2 linked regions of the Mus musculus genome follow. The protein of the gene in region 2 interacts with the protein of the main gene of each other region in a biochemical or structural test. Links are inferred from orthologs where the notes say so. Each region holds a gene or a part of one and is shown on either strand. Other genes may lie near its edges.

The links.
Region 1: the proteins of Zeb1 (region 2) and Usp51 form a complex in vitro, tested with the Homo sapiens proteins (2 studies listed by BioGRID). The link is inferred for Mus musculus from reciprocal best matches to the Homo sapiens genes ZEB1 and USP51.

Annotation. Positions count from the first base shown.
Region 1 is NC_000086.7:153,001,070-153,011,304, reverse strand, and holds Usp51 (ubiquitin carboxyl-terminal hydrolase 51), read right to left. Parts: upstream 4,837-10,235; 5' UTR 4,761-4,836; intron 4,017-4,760; 5' UTR 3,894-4,016; coding exon 1,908-3,893; 3' UTR 1,844-1,907; downstream 1-1,843.
Region 2 is NC_000084.6:5,769,049-5,778,307, reverse strand, and holds the end of Zeb1 (zinc finger E-box-binding homeobox 1), read right to left. Parts: intron 7,925-9,259; coding exon 7,744-7,924; intron 5,880-7,743; coding exon 5,242-5,879; 3' UTR 2,840-5,241; downstream 1-2,839. UniProt on the Homo sapiens protein: Acts as a transcriptional repressor. Inhibits interleukin-2 (IL-2) gene expression. Enhances or represses the promoter activity of the ATP1A1 gene depending on the quantity of cDNA and on the cell type.

The sequences.
Region 1 (10,235 bases), on a different chromosome or scaffold from region 2:
CAGGGTCTGGTGCAGAGAGGTAGACAATCACAATGCTACAGTAGAATCACAGTCGAATAAGTATTATTCATCGAGGTATAGACGAAGTACTTTGGAGGCACATAGGAGAGATGGGGATGGGGACTATCTATTTTACGCCTGCATAGGGGATCCAGGGATGGTTCCAGAGAAGTCATCTGGGAGTTAGTCTTGAAGGAATGAAATCACCAGGTATTCACTAAGAAAGGATCCTTGCAGGCTGGGATAAGGCCAGGGAAGTGTGGGATTCAGGGAAGGAGGAATGGGGGTGGGGTGGGGGTGGGGGGGTGGGCATGAAGAGGGATAAGGAATTAGCAGGACCGTTAAACACAAACTCAGAGTTCTACTGTAGAAATGAAAATATCTTGTTTCCCCATGAGACAAAAGACTGAAGGCAGAGAGGGTGGGAGTTTCCTCAGTTAAGGGTCCCTGCCACTTTTTCAGCCAGACCATGGGGCTAAAACACCAAAAGCCAAAGCTTCACAGTTATGATCTAATTTCTCTAAGCCACAAAATTATTAAAAGCCTTCTTTCAGAAGCTAAAGATGTTCTAATAATGAGTTCTAAATGGGAAAAATCTTGATGGCATTACCTTTTTCCGATATAGTTATCTGCATTGACATAAGATTAAAAAAATACATATGTTCACAAACCATTTTGTCTTCTCGCTCTATCATTTATCTCTTTTATATCCATCTATATTTCAATGTGCTAAAGTACAAAATAAAACTTTCACCTTCCAAATATGATCTTATTTACATGTTTTTTTCAGGTGTCAGTTTGTATGAGAATATTCTTTTTAAACTTAAAAGTTGGTTTTTATACTGAAATCTCTGCAGTTGAATTTACAGAAGGTTCTCTCTTAATATCTAAAAAATTGAAATCTTTAAAACTAATTACCTGTTCCCTTGAATAGTTCTAAACTTTCTTCTTTTAAATCTCCTTTCCTGAATTTAACTTAAAATTTCATTTTGTTCTATATACCTTGAAATTTTACTTTTTATATTATTATAGGTATAATTTTTGTAAATTTTGGTCTTTCCAATGCATATATTTTATGCTTTAAATATTTAGAATCCAAATGTTTTCACTTTCTAAAATTTTCCCTTACTGATTTTAAGTTAGTGGTTTTTTTTTCACTAACCACCTTAGAAATGTTCATGTTTCATCTTAACTTGCAAAATTTTAGAAAATTTTTAGAATACTCTATTTCCATACTCTATTTTTACATACTAACAATTTGGAATAATTTTAAATTAAAAACATTTAAAAATATTTCTTCTAAAATACTTAACTTAAATTTTTAACATTTAAAATGTTCTCTTAAAACCTTCAAAAGTGTTTCTTAATTGTTTTCTTTTAAAGCTTTAAAGTTTTTTGTTTAAAATATTTGGTTTTCTCCAGACTACTCTGTACACTCAAAACTATAACTACAATCAATGAAAAACCCCATTCTTAAAATATACCCCCCCACTTAACACAATATCTTTAAAGAAATAAAATGTAATTTGAGAAGATCCTCCTACATGTTGAGACTTCATTTAATTTGCTTTATGTGACCTTTTCAACCTCTCCTCCCTCTGAACCCCCCCCCCCCCCCCAGTTCTTAAGGCTAATGGTCACCGATTGAAAATTCAATGTCTTCCTCCCATAGACTTATGGGACAGGGTAAAATAGTTCCTTTATGCCAAAGTGCCACTTGTCATATATGGTCATTGTCCACTCCAGGTAGATTTTTGTGTTTCTTTTAAGAGGTGCTTGTTGTTGTAATGGCATTACAATTGTCCATCCTGGTAGGCTTGTGTTGTCTCTTTGTCTTTTTCTTTTTTGTTTTCTCTTCTTTTTCACTTTTTAAATTTTTTTTGGTCTGGAAATCATTCTGGATGAGATTATTCTTTCTCTATATCTTGCCTATGATAGAACAGTAGATACCCTTCACTATTGAGTAATTCTTCCATTGTAGCCTTGGTGACTACAGCATCATCACAGCTGAACCACTGGTCTTTTTCCTGTCGGACAAAACTGGTGTAATGGCCACTTTCCAAAGTTCCATGGTGGTTAATTACTGCAAACAAAGAATACTTATTCTCACTGGGTACACACTCTGTTAATGGCTGGCCTTTCATTATGCTTTCTTTAGTAGAAGCCAAGAACGGGGTCATGTCCAGCTCCAAAGGAAACGAGATAAAACTATTAATCTTTCGTCTCTGTTTGCCTAAATGTTCAAATCTTTTCAGGTGAAAGCAGGCCACAATCGGTAATTTCTTCATTGTGAGCTGTTTGGTAGATTCCTGGTAGCTTTGGCATTGACTGCATTTGATTTTGGCACTGCTACCCAGGTCTTCGGGCCTTGTAAACCACTTCAGGCAATCTGTAAGTGAGATGACTCGTGGCTTCTGGCCATCCCTACTCGATGTGCTACTACTAGCCCTCCCTGGAGTATAAGGCCCAGGCAAATCCAAGCTAATGTCCCAGCATGGGTCTATGGTAGTAGAGACACCATGACAAACTTGACATGTTAAATCTGACTGCAGACTACCTGTAAAGATGTGATCTATGATGCAATTACAGCAGTTGGAGTTACCTTCCTGGTCGATACCATCATCTCTGCTGTGTCTATGCAACACATCCAATATGGCAATAAGAAACTCCTGAGCATCCTGTTGTCTGTAGCCTGCTAGATGCTCTGCATGGATCCATATCAGGTGTAGTAATTTATAGGGAATATGAGGACTTTGGTTCCCCGAGTACATAGCTTGAAAAAGTAAAGACATCTCGCAGACTAAACACAAGCTGGGGCTTGTCATCATACATTTGTGCTTATTTGAAAGGAAGAACTCTTTCAGTAGCGGAATGTGAGTAAGTACTTGGACAATACAATTCATAAAGCAAGTATTACCAAGATTAATTAATCCTCTGAAGCCTACAGTATAATACATTGTCTTTTTCCTCCTCTTTTTCTTGGGTTTTACCAAACTGGTCTCCTGATCTTTTGACTCGCAGGTTAATTGGTTTTCTTCCACCTCAGATGCCATCAACTGCTGATAAGATGCATCTCCTGTAGGGGATGATAACAGTCCCAGAATTTTTTCTTTTGTTTCTTTGGCGATCTTTTCTATATCTTTGTCATATACATAATCCCTACACATAAAGCAATATATAACCCCATGACAGAGGTCTACTGCTAAATTGTGTTGCGTTGTTTCGGCATGAATGTGAATATGTTTGTCAGTAAAGCATCCAAAAAATACACAGGACAGACAAGAGTGGAGTCTGTTCTTGTGAGTACTACATATTTGACAGATGCATGACTTTGCCTTACGTTTCCTAGTCTCCGGGGTTCCACTCCAAATGAAACGCTGATAGATCATCCGCAGGTTTCTCTGCCAGTTTTTAGCTACTTTAAAGCTCTCTACATGACAGCAGCCTGTGGGACCCTTATTAGACCCTACCTCCAGTAAACTGTTCTCTGAGCCATCTGAATCCCTAGAGGAGCCATGGTCACTAGAGTAGCTTTTCCGTGTTTGGGGTCTGGGTCCAGGCCTGGATCTACGTCTGGAATTGCGCCAGGCCACCGACCGCTGCTTGGGCAGGGGTGGAGGTGGCGGCGCTGGCGGGGGAGGCGGAGGTTTGGCGGGAGGCGGGGGTGGGGCCTTGAGCCCACGCCCTCCCCTGGAGCGGGACCTGGGCTGGGGCCGAGGGCGGGGCTTGCGGCGCGGGCAAACCGAGCTGGAGCTGGTGTGACAAGCAGCCGGGATAGAAGGGAGCACCTTCTCATAGCTGCCACTGCCCCTACTTGTTAAGTTCTCCGACGTGGGCTTGGGCTCCGGCCACAGCTCCGGCTTCATCTCCTGGGCTCCCTGTGTACCCCGCATCTCGATGCACTCTCAGCTGCCTGCTCCAGACAGGCTCCTCGACCACCTCCCGAACTCCAACAGGCGACAGAGCGGGAGGACCGGGACGCTTCTCGAACGTGGGCCATCGGCTCACTCCCAAGCCTGGGAAGAAACGCGTCTGGGAATGAGCTATGACTATGGGTGGAGGGAGACAGGAACTCGTGTGGACGGCCAGCCCGGCGTCATGGCCGCGGTGCCGTTAGCCTCAGCCCCTCCCCCTGCCGCGAGCCCCGCGCGCGGCCGCGGCTCCGCCCCTGCACCGGGGGCTCGCGTGGCGTGCCGAGCCCGAGCCCGCGGCTACCTGCTCCAAAGGCCGCCAGAACTGCTGGTACCGGGGAAGGAGGGGGGAAGGGGACTGTCCTGAGCTTTAGGGTGAAAAGGATGGCAACTCTTTTAAAAAGGCATAACCCGCTGTCTTTTCGGCGCTCTGTGCAGCCTCGCTTTGGCGCACCTTTTTCTACGTTCTTTCCTTGCATCTTTAAACCCCTCGAGTCAACAATGTATGTTAAATATGGCTGAAAGGAGGTTATCTTTGAAAAAAAACTGACTCAGTGGACGAAAGTGTCCCCTGCCTCCTTTCTTACCTATGCTTCCAGCCTCTACTCCTAAGCGCGCTTGCTGTGTGCCACGCTCGAGCGCCCTCTCTTGCTCTTTCGTGCCTGTGCCCTCACACCCCGTTTCTTGCTCCTGTCCTCTCATTTCCTAGGGTTTCCCCCAGAATTCAGACTCCCTTCACGCGTGACCACCCCCATCCACAGTACGCGACCCCCAAAGTGCATGCTCCCTCCCCGCAACCACCGCAGCTCCCCAAGCCCGCGGATTTGTAAAAAGGTCTGGGTTTGTTACCTGGGGCCCCAAGGCGCGCTTCATCTAGAAAGTCAGCTGCTGCTGCTGTCCAGGCGCTCCTCTGCCAGTCTTCTCTATGACCTCTCTTCGGGGCTGGTCACAAGGGGGCCGCCCCCTGGCCCCTCCCCTCTCCACGTATGGGCCCCCAGCCCCGGAATCAGGCCTCCAGCAGGGATGAATAGTACCGCTGTCCCCCTAGGCAGAAAAACCCCTTCTGAAAGGGATTCTACCAGAGGTAACAACAGCCACAGATTTTAGTAAAAGATCTTGGGAAGGCTCAGGCTTCATCTGGTTATGGCACTCTTAAAAAGAAAAAAAAAAAAGAAAGAAAAAAAAGAAAAAAAATAGAAAGAACGGGGGAAAAAAAAAACCCTGAAACAACAACAACAAAACTAACCAAGGTAGGGTTAGGGATTCACTAAGATGGCAAATTCTACAGTGTTCCTTCCGGAAGCTTTAAAATTAAAATCTCAAGAGTAAAGTGGAGAGGTTATTATTTCTGAGTGTTGGGGAGAGGAAAAATACGCATATGATTCAGGATAAAATAGACCTCAGCCCAGCAACATGCTGTTCCTACAGGGATAAACTGTAAACACTTAGAGCTCATCGGTCAAAGGTGAAAGATCCTAAGATGTTTACACAGAGTGGCAACATATACTTTTGGTCACCCCTTATATTAGTAACCCTAGTATTGGGTGTTCAGGTTAAAATCACTAAGTAGCACATTGCAGGGCGTCAGCACACTTAAGAACAATGCTATGGGTGAATGTGTAAACCCGGAAGAGGGTGATCGGCCTCACAGAGATCTTTCCAGAACTCAGAAATATTTTATCAAGTTCTCTCCACATATACCCACATACAGTGGCACAAAAATTGTGGGAGAAGTATGCAAATAAAAAAGACTGGAATCAGGAAAATATATATCTAAATATTTGCCACATTGTTTCAGAATCAGTTAAAAAATTCTTCCTACTGAAATCTATCACACTTCCCTATTCCAACCTGGGTCTCCACTCCTAGAGTTATCTCAATGCATTCAGGAAACCAACCCAAAGAGAAGATAGCAGCCACAGCTGGCCTGACACTTATTATGGGAACAGTATGATCAATCCCAAGTTGAATAACTAAAAACCATGGTTCAGTAGTATGAATGGGGAGCCCAAAGGGACACATTCCACCCACTTCCCAGACTTTTTGTCTGTATCCAAGGAATGTGAACATTACAAACAGAGGCTTCAGATTGACATATCACAGACACATTCTAAAACAGCAGTGACTCAAACAAGGGAAGCAGGAAGATGGTCAAAAATTTAAATAATGTAACTGTCTAACTGTAATTTGGAGTGATCAAACCAAACTTGTAGAATAATAAAACATACAAAATGACGACATTTCAGCAGTAGGCTGCTTTCAGGACCTATAGTCCTCCATCTCTCTGCCTCTCTGCATCTCTTTCTCTCTGTTTCTTTGGCTCTGCCTCTGTCTTACTCTTTCTCCTGTGTGTGAGTAGGAGGGAGAGAGAGACAGAGAGACAGAGACAGAGAGAGAGAGAGAGAGAGAGAGAGAGAGTGTTAAAACAGAGTGAAGTCTCTCTCAGCATTAACCTTTGCTTGCACACTGCTCTTATCCAGGCCACTTTGACTGATTCCTTGCATCACTCATTGGAGACTCCAGCAAATTAACATCCTCTCCATTAAGGGGGATGTGTGTGGGAACAATTTTGCTTCAAAGACCAACATGGTGTAGATGTGCAGACACTGGTAGCCAGGACTTCAGAAATGCCATGACTTTCTGTGGCTGTGGCCAGCTCTGTCAGACAAGAACCTTGCATTGATTAATCCTTACTCTCTGCTGTCCACAAGGGGGAAATGTCCATCACACTTTAAAACGGCAGACATTATATTGTATGATATGATGTGTGAGTTCAGCCTTTCTAAGAGAAAGGGATTTTATAAGCTTCTGGGTCTTTGGACTTTTAAAGTGAAAGGTGGGACAACTAGATTCATGCTCTTGCTACAGGAGTGGAGATGATTGTGTGTCACTTGGCTGGTTCACATGGGGTGATTTTCTCTCCTTAAGGTCTGAAGCTGTATGATTTGAAGACGTGAGTTATTTTTGCTATATGAATATGTGATGGCATTGTCCACATAACATGAAAGAAGAGAGGTAGAGAGTAGGGCCCCCGTGATGTCTGCAGAGATGAGCAACCACTTGAGGAGCCACAGATCAGAAACATGACTTCCTATCAGCCCCATGTGTGCTTTAATCTTCAGTGCTTCCAAGTGTTAAAGACATCCCTCGTGTCCGCACTTTAAAACATCATGGCACAGTCAGGCTGACGTGGCAACATCATTTCTGCGGAAGACAACAATGGCTGCCACCACATAGCGCCATATCCCAACAAAACAAAGCTGGTGCCTGCATGGTGTGAGGGAAACAGGAAATGGCCATGACCTTTCAGTCTGAGGGTCCCAGAATCCCAGGTAAGCAAATCAAACACTTTATATCAGTACCAAGAGTACAAGGTGGACACCCGGCTAGCTGGGTCAGATCTCTCTATGCTCTGTGATGGAGCCTGGCCGAATGAATGCAAGTGGACCGACCCTTTGACATCTGCCCAGTCGTTACACTGTGCTCATGGGTGAGAAGAGTCATATTTATTTAAAGACAAAGGATCTAGCACCCTTTCTCTTTTCTTTCTTGGAACAGATGGCAGGCATCCTGTGTGGCCCAAGCTGCCCTTGAGCTCACAAGCCTCCTGCTTCTCTCTCCAGGCACAAGGGTGATAGGTGTGTGGGGTCATACCTGGCAATCATTCGCTTCCTGTGTTCTTGGGTTCATTAAAGTCTTCAGGGCAAGGACAATTGTTACCTTCCAAGATGAATGACCTGACCTAAACCTAGGGGGAGAGTGTTGGTGTGATTCAATTGAATTGATGGATATTGCAGGGGTGGGATGTTCTGGGAAACACCACTATAGCTGGCAGGCGATCCTAGGCCTTAGAGATTCAGATCATGGCCAGTGACCACATACTCTCTTTGTAATCTTCTAATCCAGCAATGCAAACTGCTGTTGCCACAGAGCAGTGGAAGAGAGGAACAACATTGAGTATTGGTTCAGTGTGACAAATCCAGGATCACTCAGAGGTCTCTGGTTTGAGTGGGACCATGGTGTCTCATGGCAGGGTGTGGGGAGGCAGATTAATGACCACCATCCCCCCTTAGTGCACCTGATACAAAGTCCTTGCAGCTTTTGCTGCCTTGGATTCCAGTGGAGTAGCTGGAAGTGGTGATAGAAATCAGGATGCTGTGTCCCTGAGTTGGAGGTCTAGAGTTCGGTGAATAGGGGTACCTTCCTTCTGACTTGAGAATCTGTCCATCTTGCTTGATTTTCTGTCAAACTCATAAGTTAATAAATTTTACCACCCCACTCTCTCTCTCTATGTGTATCTGTCTCTGCCTCTCTGTCTCTGTTTCTCTCTCTCTCTCTCTCTCTCTCTCTCTCTCTCTCTCTCTCTCTCTCTCTCTCTCTCTCTGTGTGTGTGTGTGTGTGTGTGTGTGTGTGTGTTTGTACATATGTTTATCTCCTTCAGCCTGAGTTTGTGTGCATGTGCATATGCCCCTGGGAGGTCAAGAGCCTGTTCATGGAAAAGAAAGAGAGATTGAGAGAAAGAAACAGAGGGAGAGGGTAAAATCACAGCTAATCAAGTTACCAATGTTGTGCCAGTACGTGTGTGTGTGTGTGTGTGTGTGTGTGTATTCAATATATAATTTCCCTATGTGTCAACAGGGACATCAAAAGCACGGAGCCCATTACATAAAAACCACTTGATTAAAACTGAGGAAGACATTCGTTTCCTTCCATGATTATGGATTCTCAGCTTTTGAGGATAGTTTCTGGTATCTGCTGACATCCATGACTGGAAGAAGGCCTAGAGACTTGAGTTTGGGTAATATTTTCACTGGCCCTTGTTCCCCAGACAGGGCAGTTTTCCTGTTTCCCTGTCTCAAATTCTGCCCCCAGTGTGCCCTTCACAAATCCAAGGTTTTGTTTTCAAATTTTCAGTATATTCTTATGGAAATTTTCAAGCACATGAAAGCAGAAAGTGTGCTACACTGCAATCAGTGAACTCCATGTACCCATTAAGCTCAAGAGTCATCAGGTTCAGCGATGATTAACTTTTTCAGATCTTGTTTCATCTTTCTTCCATCCTCATCCCACTGCCTGAGCCCTACTAAGGAGCCAAAGATACACATCAAGTCCCTTCCTCTAGGAATAAACAGATAAAGACATTGTTAAACATAACCTCTGAACCATTGCACAGTCCCAAAAGCCAGTCAGAGTTACTCAAAGGCATCAAAGGTCCATAGCCCTCTCTAAGCCCCGGCTGTCTCATGGGCGGTTTTCAGGGGATGTGAGGATGTATGCCTGGCCCAGTGTTCTGTATGTCTCCTAGACACAGAAGCAAACACATTCCTCATTTGAGGGAAGGACAGTCTGTTGCCCTTGGGAGGACTGGGGGAAATTGCACAGGATTTTTGTTTACAACAACATATTGGGGCTGAGAGGAGTCAAGGTATCCCTGTCTCTTGAGCCCCATGGTTGACAGTGGACACTTCTGGAAGAACACTACTTCTCCTGTCTGCTCAGTTGTGTCTTGACTATGTTGCTGGAGTCAGCCTGTTTGTAGTAGGTGAGGAGAGGAAAACAAAGGTCCTTAGTAGGACCATATGCCTCTCCTGTTCCCCAGTGGATACATAGGAAAGAGGGGTCAGCTCTCCCAGAGCACAATTCTCAGGCAGCACAAAGGAGGTTTTAATAGCTCTCTGTTGTTTGCTCCCCTGCTGATGCTTCAGTGCACCAGGATTGTGATAAATCCCCAGGGGATCACCTGGAAACTTTGCTTGTCCCTGACCTAAGGGTAAATATTCCAAATGGGGTGTAGAGAGAAGGGGATGGCCAAGGACTTTTATCTCAGTTCCAGGAAGAAAGAGACAACTTAAAAATTCCACAGATCCATTGAATCTTGACCTATGCTCTGAGGGTCACAGGTTCTCTAGAGAATCACAGTATCACCTGATCATTGGGACATCAGGTGGCCCATGCACCTCTGGAGCTCACTGCCTCTGTCTCCCTTTGTATAGGGACAAAAGAAATTTATACCCTACCTTTCTCACTAATGTAGGAGGGCCATAGGGGACAAGGAGGAGACAAGGGTGGCTGTGGTGATGGTCTCCACAAATGTGTCTGAGGGGCTTGGGCAATGTCCACAAGCAAAAGCTGTAAGGTGAGGACACTATGTTGGAATGAGAAATACAGCTTGCAATTCTTCTGCTATGCATCTTTGGTCTTCCTCAGACCCAGTGATGGGCAGTGTGTATGGGAGATGGGACACTCTGGGGTGAGGGAGGAAGCCTTTGTCAAGGAGAAAAGCCAAATTCTTTCCTCCCATAGGAAGTTTTAGAATGATTCAAG
Region 2 (9,259 bases):
GTAGTTACGTCATTGTGACAGTAGTTATGTCATTGTGACAGTAGTTATGTCATTGTGTCAGTAATTACATCATTGTGTCAGTAGTTACATCATTGTGTCAGTAGTTACATCATTGTGTCAGTAGTTACATCATTGTGTCAGTAGTTATGTCATTGTGTCAGTAGTTATCTCATTGTGTCAATAGTTACCTTGGTAAAACTTTTCTTAATACTGTCTTCATCTGATTCACAAACATGGAATTTTATTTTCTTTGCATTTTTAATTTATTTCAGTAATATTTTGGAGCTTTCAGTGCACAGGTCTTGTTTGAATCTTTTAAAGTATCACCAAATATTTTCATTTTTAATGGAACTGTGTCTATGTGTAAATTCCCACATCTAGAATTATTTGGGAGAAAGTGACTGAATTCTCATAACTTCTTGACCTTTCCTTAAAAATTCCTTGTTTCCTCTGTAGACAACTAGGCTGACTGCAGGTAACATACTGCTGCAGTCTGTCCTTAAAGGACCCAGCCTAAGGTTTAGCCAGTGTAACCTTCTGGTCTTGCTCCTCATCTGGAGGAAGGTGTGGGCCTTTCACACTGGTGTTTTACTTGTAGAGGTTTTGAAGATGACAATTATTACAGAGATCACCTCCTACTTTTAGACTGCTGGTAATTTCTGGCTTGCTGTTGAAGGTTTTACTGATTTATTTATTGATTGTTTCTCTTTCACTTCTGAGATAATCAGAATCTCCAAGCACTCTTAAGTACACTGTTAGTGGGAGTAACACTACTTGACTTTTGGGGATGCTCCATGAATCTTGAAGTTTTAGGGAAAAATCACACGTAATCATGATTCATTTTTCCTGTTGATAAAGTGTTCAAAGTAATGTCCTAATATTCAGTTGAAGGTCTTTCCATCTATTTTCTTGAGGAATTTAAGTCTGTAGCTCTTGTATTGAAATGCCCTTGTTGATCTGAGCTTCACAGGCAATTGGAGAAGGAGATGATTTGTGTAGAATTGGTACAACTTTTTCAAATGTATGAAACAAAAAAATCACCAGTAGCAACACCTGCTGTGAATCCTCTTTTGTAGGACGCTTTTGGCAATCAATTTAGTTTTGATTGCACTTAGGTTATTTCTGCATGAGCTTTGGTAATTATGGCCTTCCAAGCAATGTGGCACTTTTCCCCAAGCTGTCAGAAACATGGACATGCAGTTATTCCTTCTGTATCTTACTCTGTAGGGTCTGTAGATGGCTTTTCTTTGTTTCTGTCAAGATTGGCAATTTGTCTCTTCTATCTACCTCGGACTGTATGGCTAGAAATCTACCTTTTCAGAGGTTGACTTGGTTTACATGGCTTTTTTATGTCACGGTTTTCTCTTTTCCTTATTATCGGCTCTCTCCTGTTTTGTGTTTTACTTGTACAGTTTGAGGTGGAGGCTTGTATGAGTCCTTTGTTCTCTCCTGTTGTCAGCATTTAACACTGTGCCTTCTCTTGTACATATCACTTAACTTTATACTACAATTTTTGACATAAGATGCCATCATTGTGAGTCATATTTTTCATCAGGAACAACTTGATATGGCTTTGTAATAATTTAGATGATTTAAAAATGTATTTATTACTGATCTATGGGTGTTTTAAAACAATTTTATGATTAGTTTATGTGTGTGCATGAATGGCATGCAAATGCTGGTCTGAGGACAATATTAGAGTTGGTCTTCTCCTTCCACTGTGGGTTCTGGGATTCTGGAGTGCTAGGGATGGAACTCAGGTCGTCAGGCATTCTGGGTGTTTTTTTTTTAACCACTGAGTAGTTAGGCTGGTTTCCATCTCAAAAGTGAGAATTCTGTTATGCCCTATGTTTTTTCCCTGTAAATGACCCAGGAGTTATTGAGGTAAATAAATGTGTGTTCTGGGTGAATTTGTCTTTACTGGGCAGAGGTGTGTCTGTAGGTCTGAAGTTCTGTCAGAGGTAGAATTAATACATGGTTGCTTTAATATAGCTTCCCGGTGATCTCAGGTGGAATCCAGGATTAGATTTCTCTGTGAGTTTAACCCCTTTCCCTCCCTTAGGCTATCTTTCAAGTTTGCACTGGAAACTGAGAACAATCCCAAGTCTCCACCTTCCTCTGCCAGGATGCATGCTGCTCTCAGGGGTATTTTCTATTCCTCTTGCCTAGGGCTAGGCCAGGAGAATCCACCTCAACATGACATGTGATGCAGGCTGGACAGAGACATGTCCTTGGAGTCAGACAGGTCTGTGTGCAGAGCCCCATTCTACGTCTTCTTCATGTGGCTATGGCCATATGGCTTTCCCAGGTAGTTTTAAGGCTCTCTGAAACATAATCTTGATAAAAGCAGCAAGGCAGATGCATCTCAGGACACCAATGCCACTCTTTCCTGGTGTGAGGGGGCACTGGAAAGACCTGCTCCCTGATAATGTGGTTAGTTTCATTAGCCTTCTAGGCTCACGGATGAGGCACCATCTTCTCCAAGATTTACTTTCATGAGTAGTGGACATCCCCTAAGAATGGTACTTTAGCATCTCATAACCTTTACAGTACATTTTTTTTTTGGTATAGCTGGTGTTAGGGACAGGAAATTAGGCAGTCTGCTGACAGTGGACACAGGGGAAGTAAGGGCTGTGGTGTGGGAAGATGGGGAGCACACAAGATTGTAAGAATGTGGGGTCCTGGCATAGGATGTGTGTCCTAACTCTGTCAGAACCAGGTCTATCAAGTATTTTCGAGGTAGTCCCTCCCTGAGCTTTCAATGCCTGTACCCCGTACCATAAACTTGAGCACCCGAAAGACACCTAGAAATAAGCTCTCCACACATCACAACAACAGAGCAGCTTCCAAGGCAGTCATTTATTACATCTCCTATGGTAAGTGCCTATAAGACTCAAACAAGACCACCGGCACATTATGGGAATCATTTACCTTATGAACTTTCAGATTAGAGGCAAAACAGTGAGCACAGCTAAGCTCTGCAAATGTGCAGTTTCTGTGTTCATTCAATGAATGTCTGTTGAGAGGCAGTTCATGGGCAGGGGGCACATGAGGCATGACCATGACATGGGGAGGAACATCAGTGACAGTCCTTGAGCTGAATGAGAAGGGTTCAAAGAGTGGCAGAGTACAAGCAAAAAGCATCTTAAGCTTGCACAGCCCTGATGTTCCCTGAGGGGAAGGCTCTTGCTCTGTGGGTTTTGGAAGAAGGGACAACCTGTGCAGAGGGCTTCCTCAGGGAATTTCCCCCACAGGAAAAGGCATTCTTTGTGCTAAGTGTCTCAAATACTTTGTGTCAACAAACTCAGCTCAAGATGAATGAAGCTCTAGGATGTAATGCCCACTTCATAGACAATTTTCCAAAGGAAATTTGATGATCCAAAGAACGACAGCAGGTCAGGTTTGTTGATGCGTTTATTGTGAGCTGGGGAGTCTGGTAAAAAACTAGAAAATGACCATGGTGTAACAAGGAACTTAAAAGGAAGAGTCAGATTGGTAGCTTACATACATGGATACAGGAACAAATTGGCACATGTTAAACATTGTTCCCAACACTGTTTACAGAAGGCAATTCTAATTTGGCTTGCTAAGGGAATGAGTTATGGCTGGGCCAACTCTTAACAGAAGACTGCAGAGCGGCATGCTATGAGTCGCACACAGTGAGTGTCAAAGTGTAAGAGTTTCCTATTAAAAACTGGGGAAAGGGAGAATGACTTGATTGTAGTTGTAAAACTAATACCTTCCCATTTAAAGGCTGGTCTACAGTCGGAGGCAAGTATAAATGTTAACAGAACACTGTTAAATCAAATCTCAACGCACGGGAACCAACTGCATCTCTACTGTAAATCTTAGCAACTTTCCAAAATTTCATACTAAAATATATTATTGTATTAATACAAACTACAGTATTATACACTACACTGTGTAATAAATAAAGAAATATAAAAATAAGACACATAAATATAAAAGTTTTCTAAAACTAAAAGTACGTGTCAGTAAGAAGGGTATTAATACTGCCAGGCTTAAAGACATACAGTACAAAAATGTTGCACAGATCTATAAACTAAAAGAAATAAAATAATACTGGTAGGTAAAAATCAGCTGCTGTTGTTCATCACCTGGGTCCGTAATAACTAACATTTGGAAAACGGCTGTGAACCAAAAACCAATAGCGTATCCATGCCTGACACGCAAGTACATGGATTAAGTAGTTTGGAGAATTTCCCTTTTATTTCTGTAGAGACTTCTGAGAGTCAATCAACATGAAATGACTACTGAGGAACAAAAGTGTGAGATGCCCCAGTGCTTCAGCTTCTCTCACAGTCAGTGGTTTTGAGTTTTGTTTGGGAATTTTGACACAACAAACGAATCAACAACTGCTAGTTAATATAGGCCACACTGCGGGAAGGCTGTCAGAGCCTTGCAATACTGAGAATGGCACTTAGAGCACAGGTCTTGCTTAAGGCCAAAGGGACACAGCGCTTGCTTCCTATAGATCCTTCATGGTTGCTAACGTACGCAAACAATCACGAACACTGATTCTGCCGCCTCTGCCGGCCTTGCCACATCAACACTGGTCGTCCCTGGAGTCAGGACTCAACGACAACCTTTGAACTCCATTTAAAAATCACACGAGTAAGAAACTCCAGCTCTTCTCTGGCTGCTTCCTTAAGGCTAGCAATACATGTTAGATGGCAACACGGCATCTAACGTCAGAGGTCCTATCTCCTGACTGACTGGGTAGCAGCAGGTAGCCAGCACGGTTTGAACTGCTTTCTACTGCTCTGTGAAGGGAATTCTGTAGTGCAGAAGTTCTCACATTTTAAAAAACATAATAAAATACTGAAGCGGATTTAGCATATGTTTACCAATAAAAAAATTATAAAATTTCTCCCATTGTAGAGCTTAAGAATGAGCCAACGTAAGAGTGATAATACTGCTAGCCATGCCGGACGCCCATCCAGCCTCCTGTAACCTGCTGAGAAACCTTTGTTTTCTGAGTCATTAATGTTTTCTAAGCTGCTTCATGTTATAAATTTGTTCCTAACTTTGAAAACTGCATGAAAAATTACTAGGTTTGAGGTTCAGGCACACCCGGAATTTTTTTTTTTTCAGTTCTGACATTACACAGTAGTGAGCAGGAACCATAGCACAGGAGCCATGGAGCCATGTTTCCATGAAAAGCGTGGGTAATATAGAGCAAATTTCATTACCAAGTAGAATTTCCTTTTAGAAGAACTCCTAAGCTTCATTTGTCTTCTCTTCAGACAGCTGCTCACTCTCGCTTTCGCTCTCCATCTCGCTCTCGCTGGCCTTCTGCTCTAAGCTGCCTGCCTGCTGTGCAGCTCCAACCTCCACTGTACCATCAGTCTTGGCTGCTGCCTCATGCTCGGCTTCATCCGCTTCCACTTCCTCCTCTTCCTCCTCTTCTTCCTCCTCTTCCTCCTCCTCCTCCTCCTCCTCCTCCCCCTGTGGGTTCTCACATTCCTTTCCTTCCTGTAATTCTTCCATCTCTTTATCTTCCTCCTCCTCCTCCTTTTCACTGTCTTCATCTTCTTCCCTTGTCAGACTTTCTCTCTCGTCCGAGTCAGCCTGTGAGGGAGACGCCCGGGCACCAACATGCTCAGTCGCCAGGACTTCCGGCAGGACTTCGGGCCCAGCGTCTTCCTGCTCCATAGCATCTCTGTCTTCAGCTCCTCTCTTGCAGTAGGAGTAGCGGTGATTCATGTGTTGAGAGTAGGAGCCGGAGTGTGAGAAGCGCTTGCCACACTTGTCACATTGATAGGGCTTTTCCCCAGAGTGCAGCCGCATGTGCTCAATCAAATGATGCTTGTGTTTAAATGCCTTTCTACAGATTCCACACTCGTGAGGCCTCTTACCTGCAAGGTAAGAACGCAGCTATGAAACAGAACACTGGCAGAAATAAACAGAGTGCTTGGGAGAATGAAGGGACATTCAGATTGTGCAAGGGGAGGGTCACAGTTCCATGGTCAAGAAACTGGCAGGTTCCCAATTGTACGATAATACTATGGTTCATTTTTTTCTATGTGAAAATTCAAGGTTATACACTGCTTTGCAGATGAGGCCAGTGCTAATTATAAAAGGTGGAAATGCCAAAAATTCATACATCAGGACCACATGGCAGAACATTTATAAGTGAGGCTCCCATGAGCCAGGGTGACAATCTCAGGAAGAGGGGCTTCCACGGCATTTTGATGTCTCACAGCTCTTTCTACTTATGGGCAAATTTTCACAAATGTAGAGCTGATGTGGAAATTCTTTATAACATCTAAAATAGCTTTTGCCCCACAAGGCTGCAATCTTGCCCCTCATGAGTGGGTGTGGCCTGAGCAACAGTGGATACACAGAGGACAGCTGGCATAATCAGGACTGGCTATTACCAACTACAGTGCTATGAGCCAGTCAACACTTAAAAATCCAGAAATTACTTTTGAAAATTTTTTTACAGCTAGGATGTCATTTTAATTTTGATATTACCAGTATTTAACTCTTTTTAAAGAATTAGGAGATTTCCTAATTATCTCAGTGAATATAAGTAGAGGGCTGTGGTCCCAAGCTTTTATTAGAGAGGTACAGCTTTCAACCTCAGCAGCCACCCAAGTGTCCCGCTTCTCTGCGTGTCTTCTCACCAGGGGAATGAGTTACCATTGTTGGTGAGAGGCTGAGGGTCTGTGTGTTGCTACTTCAACTGTAGGTAAGTGGCTGGTAAGGGCCAGGGAAAAGATCCTGGGGATTAGTTACGATGAAACCAGTCTTTCATCTAGCCATCTTGTTGGAGAGAAACTGGTTGGCTATGCAGCTCTTATCAGCTAGGAGCCTGTTGCTAAACTATGGGAATTCTGGAGTTGTTTGAAAGCTGTTCAGGCTTGAGGTCAGTCATGGACAGGGGTTGGTACATACTTCTTATCTGGACTTCCCAGGCCATAAAGACACACAAATTAGAATAGACCAGCATGGCTATGGAGAGAGGGAATTGGGAGGGGCACATCAGCAAACATCTTTCGTAAAAGCCCTCACTAGTAAAGTGTCTTGGGACCAGCTGGCCTTTATCCCCACTGTAATCAGCAACAGGCAAGTGAGGGATGACTGGGCAGAATAAAACATCATTTAGGATGCCAAAGTTTGACTTTTATCTTTAAAAAAATCCTTTTCAATCACAAAAAATGTAAAAGTCTAGTCTCGGCTCATAAGCATCAGAGAGCTAAGTGAAGCCTTGTTTGGTTTGCAAGACATTGTTTGTTGGTCCTAGATCAGCCTAAGGCCTGTGTATTTTGGGGAGAATTATAGAATCTTTGGGCTGAAGTGATCTTAAAATCAAGTTCAGTTTCTTATGCAGAAGTTCTTTCTAACAAAGCAAAGGTCTTTCCTTTTAAAACCTTTGGGTGACCAGGAGGCAAGCCTTGCACCAGGAGAGCTGGTGCTCACTGGCTGCTTTCTGGAGCTGAGTCCTCTTCCTGACACTTCAGCACCTTGTGTGCAGCAGAAGCTGAGATGCAAGGAATGAAGGTATGCAGAGCAAGTGCTCTGTCAGCATAGACACCAAGGCATTAAAGGCGAAACGGGAGTCTAGGCAGCAGACAGCCAAGCCACTGCTCCGCAGTAGGAATATGTGAAAAGTGGAGACCACGGAGCAGAGCTGAGAACGTCACACACTATGGGCATGTTTCATGTGCACTGGGCCACAGGCACCTTTAGAACCTCGTGCCCAGGTCCCCCACACACCTGTGTGCTCATATTTGTGTCTCAACAGTGAGCTGCTCTTCTGAAATATCTTGTCACACAGGTCACATGCATACATTCCATTCTCTGTCTTCCGAGTTTTCTTTTTGGGTGGCGTGGAGTCAGAGTCATTCTGGTCCTCCACAGTGGAGACTCCTTCTGAGCTAGTGTCTTGTCTTTCATCCTAAGTGGAAAAAGAAGATTAAATGTCAAAGAAAAAGATTCCCAAGAGATAAGGTCACTGAGATGGCTCAGCAGACAAAGCTATTTGCCACAAAGAAAGATGAGCAGAGTTGAATCCCTGGGATCTACACGGTGAAAGGAGAGAACTGACTCCCACAAGTTGTCCTCGGACCTCCACGTGTGAGAGCTGGCACACAAAGCACCCACTGCCAATAAGTCAATAAATGTAGGAAAGTCAAGAGATGCACAAGAGAGAAATTTCATGTTAGATGTGAAGCCCTCCACCTGAGCCCAGCGAGCACACACTACAGTGGCTACGGACAGCTCCCGGGGCACTAGTACTTACTACAAACAGGCCCAGAGAGACACAAGTGAGGCTGGGAACAACACAGAAAAGGGTATAGTGAAAACATTCTTCAACTGTACCAAAAAGAGAGGCCACCAGAAGAAGACATCAGATGGACAGCAGCCATATTTACTTTATTCTGGCAAATTATGATTTTAGAGTGGCTTTGCAGAAAGGTTTAATCAATGAGCTTGATAATTCACCACTCATTTCCAATTCATCATTTACTATGCTTTTCTTTTTTTCTTTTTTTTTTAAGATTTATTTATTTATTATATGTAAGTACACTGTAGCTGTCTTCAGACACTCCAGAAAAGGGAGTCAGATCTCGTTATGGATGGTTGTGAGTCACCATGTGGTTGCTGGGATTTGAACTCCGGACCTTCGGAAGAGCAGTTGGGTGCTCTTACCCACTGAGCCATCTCACCAGCCCTTACTGTGCTTTTCATAAAAATTCTGCGTTTCACTAAGAATTGAGACATAGTTTAGACAATGTCTTTAAAGTGTGTCCTTCATCCTGGAGGCCTTTGTACCAGCTCCCTTGGTCTGGCGAAGAGGGATTTGCTTTGGTCCATACTTTCCCTGGAATGAGGAGGAAAAGTGTGAGAGGGGCTGAGATTTTTAAATAGGAGTAGCTGTCTGTAAAAGAGAACCCTTACAATTTTCATAAAATACACAAGACATGACATAGAACCTCAAGATGGTCTCAGAGAAGTCACTTTCAGAAAAGGCGCTTTTCTCAATGGAATAGTCCTGCAGAGAGCCTCTTGAAGACTTAGGTCACCTATGACCTTTGGGTCTTTCCTAGAGTCTCATAGACTCTGTTCTTTTGAAAGCTCGATATGACAAGCAAAGCCAGTCATTTATCACTAGCTGCCAGTGTAGAAGTGACTCTACTTTATAGCTCTTGATATAGTCCAAGTCACTTGAAATGGTAAAAGCTCTGTTTTCTTTAAATTCAAAGGTATCAAGAAGGGCTGGGAAGATGGC